Linked DNA regions of Oryzias latipes. The protein of the gene in region 1 interacts with the protein of each later gene in a pairwise test. Links are inferred from orthologs where the notes say so. Each region holds a gene or a part of one and is shown on either strand. Other genes may lie near its edges.

Region 1 (3,750 bases):
TCAGGTTGTTCCTATGAGTGGTCTGGTCGAGGGAACAGCTGATGTTCTACAGAGTTCTCCGGTCCTGCTGGAACTTTATGAAAACTTGCTGTGTCGATGACATTTAGTCCCTTTTGTGCTTCTTTTTTTTTGTATATTAGCTTAAGAGCTGAATTTGTAAAAAGAGTTGGCACGTTCAAAAAGCTTTTTTAGATTAAGCTAATGCAGTCTTGTTAAAAGTATTACTTAAAATCAGAATTCAGGGTTTCTGCGTTGGCATAAAGGAAACTTTAATGTGCACTGAAGCCAAGATGTTAAGATGTAGCAGGAGAATTGTTTTCTCACAACACTGTCTGCTAGCCACTGGCAGGTTTGACTGCAGACCTCCCAAAAACTGCTGCCTGAACATCCAGACAGAGATTTTGAAAGCAGACACGCTCCGTCTTTGATGCAGCTGCAGACGTGTTTGATCTCTTATCAGATTTGTGAAAATAACTGAGTCTGAGGGGGCGAAAAAATCCTTCCGGCTTAGCATACGGTGGGCAAGGAATTCCACAGATTTGGTCCATGTGGAAATGAAGCACAAAGAAAAGCTTCTCCTCTTTGTCCTCTCGTGAGCAGATGTTGACTCTGGGATGTGCTGCATCTTCAGCATCGATGCTCCGAACGGTAAACGCTGAGCGAGCTTTTCACATACCTAGAGTGCTTCTCAAAAACAGGAAGAGCACTTTGAGAAGGTGAGACGCTGCTGTAGAGTGTGTAAGTAAGTTATGCTGAAGAGCAAATGTGAGCCAGAGAACGCAGCCCTGTGTTCTCTGGCTCACATTTAAAACGTGGACAGAGGAGAAACGGGCTGCACTAAAGGAGAAAGGAGGTATGAAGTCAGAGGGGTCAGCTGGTGCTGCAGCTTACAGCTATACCAGCTGAAATCTGAGACTTGCACAACCACAGTGAGGCGGAGGGAGGGGGCAGAGGGAGGAAGAATGTCCAGCCTGGAGAAAGAAGGCAAACTGCAGGCTTTCAGAGGACACGAGGCTGCAGGAGCAGCAGGGAGATGCAGCTGGAGCTGAGCTGAGACATGTGAGGGCTGAGCCTGCAGAGACAAAGATAAAGACTCGCGCTGGATGCGGACTTTAGCTCTGTGTTTCAGACAAACACAGCCAGTGGCGCTGACACCGACCACGCTCCCCAGGACAAAGAACATCACTGAAATCCAAACCGAGAAGAAAGTGAAGGGGGAGACTTCACACTGGATTTTTTTCTTCTTCTTTCATTTCCTCTCGGGGAGCCAAGGTTAGGTTTCTGAGCTGGGGCTCTCTTGTTTTGAGGATTTTTCTTTTGCAAACTTGCACTTTTTTTTGACTCCTCTTTCTATACCTGCTAACCAACCGCCCCGTGGAATGTCAAATAGTTCCTGAGTGGAGAAACTGGATAATTACCCAGTGTTGGTGAAGCTCTAATGACTCTCCTAAACTGCCTCCCGTTTCCTGTGCAGACTGGCGAGTTGATTAACCCTTTAGCCTGCCTGGCTGCTGTCCGGGCTCCTTCTGTTGCTTCTGCAGTGGAGTCGCTCAAACACCCTGGACTCTGACGTTTTCCCGCTGTTAAGGATCTGCTGGTGTTTGTTTGGACACAACCCTCGTTCTGGATCTGCTGCAGAACTCCAGCCGCTCAGAAGCTTGTACTTTCCAAGGGGAGAGGGGTGGGGGCGGGGGCGGGGGTGGCAGGAGGGGAAATATGATCCAGTATTTGGAGGAATGCGTAGAGCTCCAGCAGCAGTGTGTGGTTTCCATGGAAAAGGCCTGAGCAGCGTGGCACAGAGGGGCTGCATACATGCTTTACCTCTATGTCTGTGGTCCAAGTGAAATCCAAGCAGACAAGTGTAGCTCCACAAGCTCCACCCTGGAACTCCCTGTTCAGGCTGCTCTCATGCGTAGCAACCAGGAATGTGCACAACACTAAAGGTGAAGCGCGTCGATCCTCACCAGCTCCATGTTTCTGCCCAAGGTGGCTTGAATTGGCACTTTGTGTGCAGGGGGCCGTGTTGGCACACCGATGCTGTGCGTGACGTGGGCGAGCACAGAAGATGCTTTTAACCGTTTCCCTGCGTACATTATGTTGCACTGTTTTAACGTGGATTAACGTTTGTGTTGAATCCCCCTTCACCTGTCCTGATGTTCCTCTGTTTAGTTTTGTCATTCAGGATATTTAATTTCTTATCATAGAAGAGAAAAGGGAACGACGGGAATGTTTTCTTCACAAATAGCACTTTTGAACATTTATTAAAACTAATTTGCTTTTTAAATATTCATTTTGTGTGTTTATGTTTTGGTCCTTTAAGGGCCTATACCAGGCTCTTCTTAAGCCTTTTATAGTAAAAAATATATATATCCATGTATATGATGATATATTTTGGGACACAAAAGAACATTTCTTTTAAAATTAAATATTAGTTATTTTCCTGAGTTCTTTTCCAATCAGGAAGTAGGACGACTCCATCTCTGAGGCTCCGCCTCTCGCTCTGTGATGCACAAAAGATGTTCTTGTTTTCTGTCAAAAGATTCATCACATAGTTGAAGGATTCAATATATACAAAAAAATGTACAATTTGTATTTACTCAACATTGTATTTAGGTTTCTGCTTGGTTTCTTAAATAACATCAATTAAAAATAATAATAATTTCCAATCTTTTGAGAAAAATATCCAATCTCTTAATTAATGAAACTATTTCTAGATTATATTTCTTCAGCTTCTAAAAGGGAAATGGTTTTCTTTTGCGATGCGTTTAAAGATTGTTGAGCCTCCATGAGGTTCATGGAGGCAGAAGCTGTTGGTGAAACAGACTTTTTGGTCTGTTTGCAACCAAACCATTGGCAGAACAAAGACAGGAAGATGTTTATGGTTTATGGTTTCCTTCATCGTTGGTGTTCACCTTCACGCCCCGAACCATCGATGGTCTTATCCGTCTACCTGTTCCCACACCGTAGCCCTGTTTTCTGCCTATGTTTGTAGACGAGACGGTTTATGTGGAGATGAATTTTTAGTTTCAAAAAGCAGCTTCCTGTGTTTGCGAGTTCTGTTTCCACACAGAAGGAGACATTGTACGTCGTTTTAACAGAAACCTCAAATCAAATGTGATGCAATCGTGTCCAGGAATAATTTGCTTTGTGTAGATTTTGTTCAGCTGAAGACAAACGGGTTTCACTCGTCAACCTTTAGTCCAGAAATGGACCAGACTTACTGAAATATGAATGAGTGGCTCTGCAGCAAAGCGTCCACACAGCAGAAATCTAAAGTGAGCACGCTCTGTGTCCTGCCCATCAAACACCGCCTCGGCGCCATCCGGCCCTCACGTCTGCCGGAACATCACAACAATCCGAGCCCACTTCTGTGTCTGACTGGAGAACAAAGCAGAACGTTCAGAACCAGCCTGTCGGGTTCTCATGTGCACTTCCTTTGTTTTCTCTTTCAGAGGTCCAAACATTTCAGGAGCAGACAGAAGCCTTATTTGGAAATCTTATGGACGAAGGTCAGTCTGTCTTGTCTGTCAATCTGTCTGTCTGTCTGTGTCTGAGTGGATCTGTTGGGGATTTGCTTTACATTTACAGGATCGATGGCAGCTTTGTTGGTTTTCCCATGTCTGCTGTAGTTTTGTGTGTGTGGGCTCAGACCTTTCTGTCGGGCTGATCAGCCGTCCCGCTGCAGGGCCCGGCCCACGCCGTCTTTATCTGGCAGCTCCTCGTCAGCTGGCACCGGGCGTGCCAACTGAA
Region 2 (3,715 bases), on another chromosome or scaffold:
GCTGCAAATAAAAGCTTAATTTACTGTGGCTCTCCAAATGTCTGTTTTACAGATTGTGTCTGATCCGAGAGTGCGGGTCGAGCAGGCTCTGCGGGAGGCTGGACTGCACCAAAGTCATTACGCCACAAAGGTTCTGTCTGAAATCAAACCTCTCAAGCCGCCTCGACGAGACACCAAATCCATGTTTAAGTTTTGATCATTTTGTATTTAAGTCAAGTCTGAACCTGTCTTGGCTCTGTGCATTCAGTATTTACACACATTTATTTTATTTAGTGTGGGAAAACCCACAGATAAGCTCTGTTCATTTATCATAAAAAAGCAGTGCAGCTGCCCAACAAGTGATTTTCGTTTCGTGCTCAGATACTGGACATGTTTATTTTAAAACTTATATTTGAGATGCATGGTCCTCTCAATCCAGTTTTACTGAACAGTTTGTTTTACTAAATGTTAGAACTCTAAATAAAGTTAATTCAGGAATGAATCAAGTTTATTTTATGTTTGTTGTGTTTGTGGTCTATGTGCAGTTTACAACCTTTGTAGTCATAGAAACCAGGCAACATAAAATCTTTTTGCAGATTTTTATTTGCTTTCATAAATATCAAAGGATTTAAAATAACATCTAATAAATCCAATATATTTGGCTTATTAAACAAATCATTTAAACTCTTAAAACTTAAATAGGTGCCCATTTCAAGTATCACTAATCAATTTTTGTTGTGTGTATTTACATTTTTAAATGTTACATATTTACAGCTGTTTAAATATCTGGGGCTTCAGGGAATAAGTCCGAGGCGTTTCTTGATGAAGTAAGCCACCAGGATTTGAGGTCTCTGCTGGTACTCCACCAGAACCTCATGAGAAGAGGTGATCTGATCTCCTTCAAAGCGGTTCAGTAACGTGACACAGACCACAGCAGCTGAGGGGGGGAAGGATCAGTGATAGGTCAGTTGTCATGCTGTTCAGATCATGTACAAACAAAAACTGCACAGGAGTTTTACCTTTGAGGCCACAGACCCGGCACATGGCAGCAAAGACGGTGGACTCCATCTCGATGTTTCTCACTCCAGCCTCATAAGCTTTCCTTAGATACTCCAGTTTCTCCTCATGAGAGAAAGAGCAGAGAGCTCCATCAAGCCGGCCCTGACCTGGAGAGCCACAGAGATTGACTTGTTAGTAAAGGGGCGGGAGACTTATTCCCAAATGGGACTGAAATAAAAACAGTTTTTTTTCAGTACCTTCATAGAAGTCATGGGTGCACATGGTCTTTCCAATAACAGTTGGAAAGCTCTGAAGTTCAGAGGCATACTGCAGAAGCTCACTGGCCACCTCTTCGTCCAACTCTGTACTCCTGGTGATGACCTTACCCAGAACCACTTGTTCAAATTGGGGGCAGAAAGAGTAGTCCACTGCTTTATCTGTTATTACCACCGTCCCTGGATTTAAACCTGGACAAGACGGCAACTGCTTATTTATTTTCTCATTTTTTGCCAAACCCAAGTTCCATCTACAATAGACATGCAGTAAATTTGACATATAGACATAAATGCTAGGTTTACTGGTACTTTTAATAAAAAAATTAAAAAAAACATACCGACTCCTCCGGATGTTCCCAGACGAAACAAAACCACATCCTGGCACCGAGCATGATGCAGCAGCTTGATGAGCTCATGCAGCATGATTGAGATGGATGGGACGCCCATGCCATGCTGTCACGTCAAAATGCAGTAAATCAACTCAACAGCCATAAAACTCTCAGTTCGTACGCAAATAATAAGCCTACAAATCAGCAAATAGGTAGATCGTTCCTGTAAGCATGGACATACTTACACTTATAGAGAGTACTGGCCCCACTTTGTACATGGAGTAGCGATCAGTGCCCTCGCAGATATCCCGGATGTCGTCTGGGTTTCCAGGAATGTGTAGGTCTTGGTGGATGAAGTGGGCAAAAGCCTTCATTCGATTTGCGCTTCCACCAACACACACAAACTACAGAAACAGCAACAAAAGAACAATTAAACTCCGGTTTCTCTTCTCGTCTCAGAAGATTTAGGCTTAACATAGAACTCTTTTACAAACTTTGATATCTCCAAACATTTCTGGGAGGTTGTGAGTCTTAGTGCTCAGGCTGAAGTGGTACAGAATGTCCTCCTCCATGGTGTCAAGATAAGGATTTTTGACATGGACCTGTTGTCTGAGAGTGATGTTCTGGATAAATAGACGTTCACAAGTATATTTGAAAAAATATCACAATCTCACTTAATCCTTTACTTACTTGATGTAATCCTTGTGGTCTTTTCCCAAGCGGTTCAGAAGAATCAGTGCCATGGCAGGAGATGCTTTCAAGCAAAGGTTTTTAAAAAAAATGCTTTTACCAGTCTATGCAAAATCTGAGCCCCTGTCTGTGTGCCTTTTCAATCAAGAGACAGTTTTAACGGCTGACTTAATATACTTGTGACTCTTGACCCAACAGCTGATTGGTTGTGTAGAGAGGAGTAGTCAGCGGTCCCCGCCCTGATTAAAATGTACCGGCTCCAAACAAACAGAGCAAAAGCTACAACAAAAAATATTTGCACAAGGTAAAAAGTGATTTAAAAACCGCTGCAATTGGAAACCCCACATCCCATATAAATACTGCTAAGGTTAAAGATTACATACATGTTAGGAAAGTGTGTAATGTCCTGACATAAGTCAATAGGAGGCGAGAGGATATCTGACGTGATTTGACATAACTGACCAAGAGAACAGGCAGATGACCTGCGATTGAGTTTGCAGACATTTGGCAAATCCTCCAAAACATTGACATGCTCACAAAGTGAAATGAACAAACAAGCACTGATCACACAGAGTGCACACGCATGAAAGCACAGAAAGACGAAATTCCAAATCTTTAGAACTTTATTTGAAATTTTCTGCAAACCGGAACAATCCAGCTAAAAATATAACACATTCAGCATCTTTAGTAACAAGGCAAAGCAGATGAGACAAACAGCGCAAATGCTGCTGAGTCAGTCGACAACCTTAATCCTCTAAGAAATGCCGGTACAATATTTGACGGGACTTAACGAGAAAGAGGAACAGACATGAATGTCATAGGAGAAGACGGCGTGGTTTTGGATCTGGCAGACCTCCAGACTGTTGAGGATAAAATGAAGCAGAGCAAAAATCATTAACTTCGCCTTTACAGCATAATTCACCAATATCTTTACATCAAGAGGTTTAGAAATCGCAGAGAGCTGAAATTATAGTCATTTTATTGGCTATTTGTTTATACTGCTCAGTAATCTGTGTCTGTTTCTTTTTTACAGCACTGAAAGCGTGATTAGCAAAAAGAAATGACAGTGTTTTGGGGTGTTTAGGGCTCCTTACTTGCATCATTGGATTGGGCTGTTGGCTTCAGCATAGCCAAAACTCAGAAGCTTAGACATGTCAACAGGTGCCGGCTTCTTGTCAAACACTCTGAAAAAGCAGAAAGTCATTTCAAATTGACTTCTTAGGTTCTTCTATTATCAGACACGGTTCTGTTTTTTCACATATCTAGGTGTAATACAAGCACTATGAACTTTATTGAACTAGTCGTTCAAAATTGTATAGAAAATCCACTTTTTGCCTTTTTATGTAAATTAAATCAGTGGAAATATTTAGTCATTTCAAAATATAAATAATTATCTAAAGAACTGTGGCCAAAAAGACTACAGTGGTTACAGTTTAAACATCA

Evidence for each region. The genes of interacting proteins can lie anywhere in the genome.
Region 2: the proteins of siah1 (region 1) and upp2 interact in binary tests that used the Homo sapiens proteins (3 or more experiments, as listed by UniProt). The two-hybrid records come from large-scale screens. The link is inferred for Oryzias latipes from reciprocal best matches to the Homo sapiens genes SIAH1 and UPP2.

The regions. Positions count from the first base shown.
Region 1 is NC_019864.2:25,286,408-25,290,157, reverse strand, and holds the start of siah1 (E3 ubiquitin-protein ligase SIAH1), read left to right. Parts: upstream 1-902; 5' UTR 903-1,825; coding exon 1,826-1,943; intron 1,944-3,452; coding exon 3,453-3,509; intron 3,510-3,750. UniProt on the Homo sapiens protein: E3 ubiquitin-protein ligase that mediates ubiquitination and subsequent proteasomal degradation of target proteins.
Region 2 is NC_019879.2:20,678,843-20,682,557, reverse strand, and holds upp2 (uridine phosphorylase 2), read right to left. Parts: upstream 2,598-3,715; 5' UTR 2,326-2,597; coding exon 2,273-2,325; intron 2,192-2,272; coding exon 2,077-2,191; intron 1,987-2,076; coding exon 1,828-1,986; intron 1,707-1,827; coding exon 1,592-1,706; intron 1,446-1,591; coding exon 1,236-1,445; intron 1,146-1,235; coding exon 999-1,145; intron 917-998; coding exon 774-916; 3' UTR 565-773; downstream 1-564. Other genes in the region: ccdc148 (coiled-coil domain-containing protein 148), read left to right, coding at 53-196; uncharacterized protein C7orf57 homolog, read right to left, coding at 3,372-3,456. UniProt on the Homo sapiens protein: Catalyzes the reversible phosphorylytic cleavage of uridine to uracil and ribose-1-phosphate which can then be utilized as carbon and energy sources or in the rescue of pyrimidine bases for nucleotide synthesis.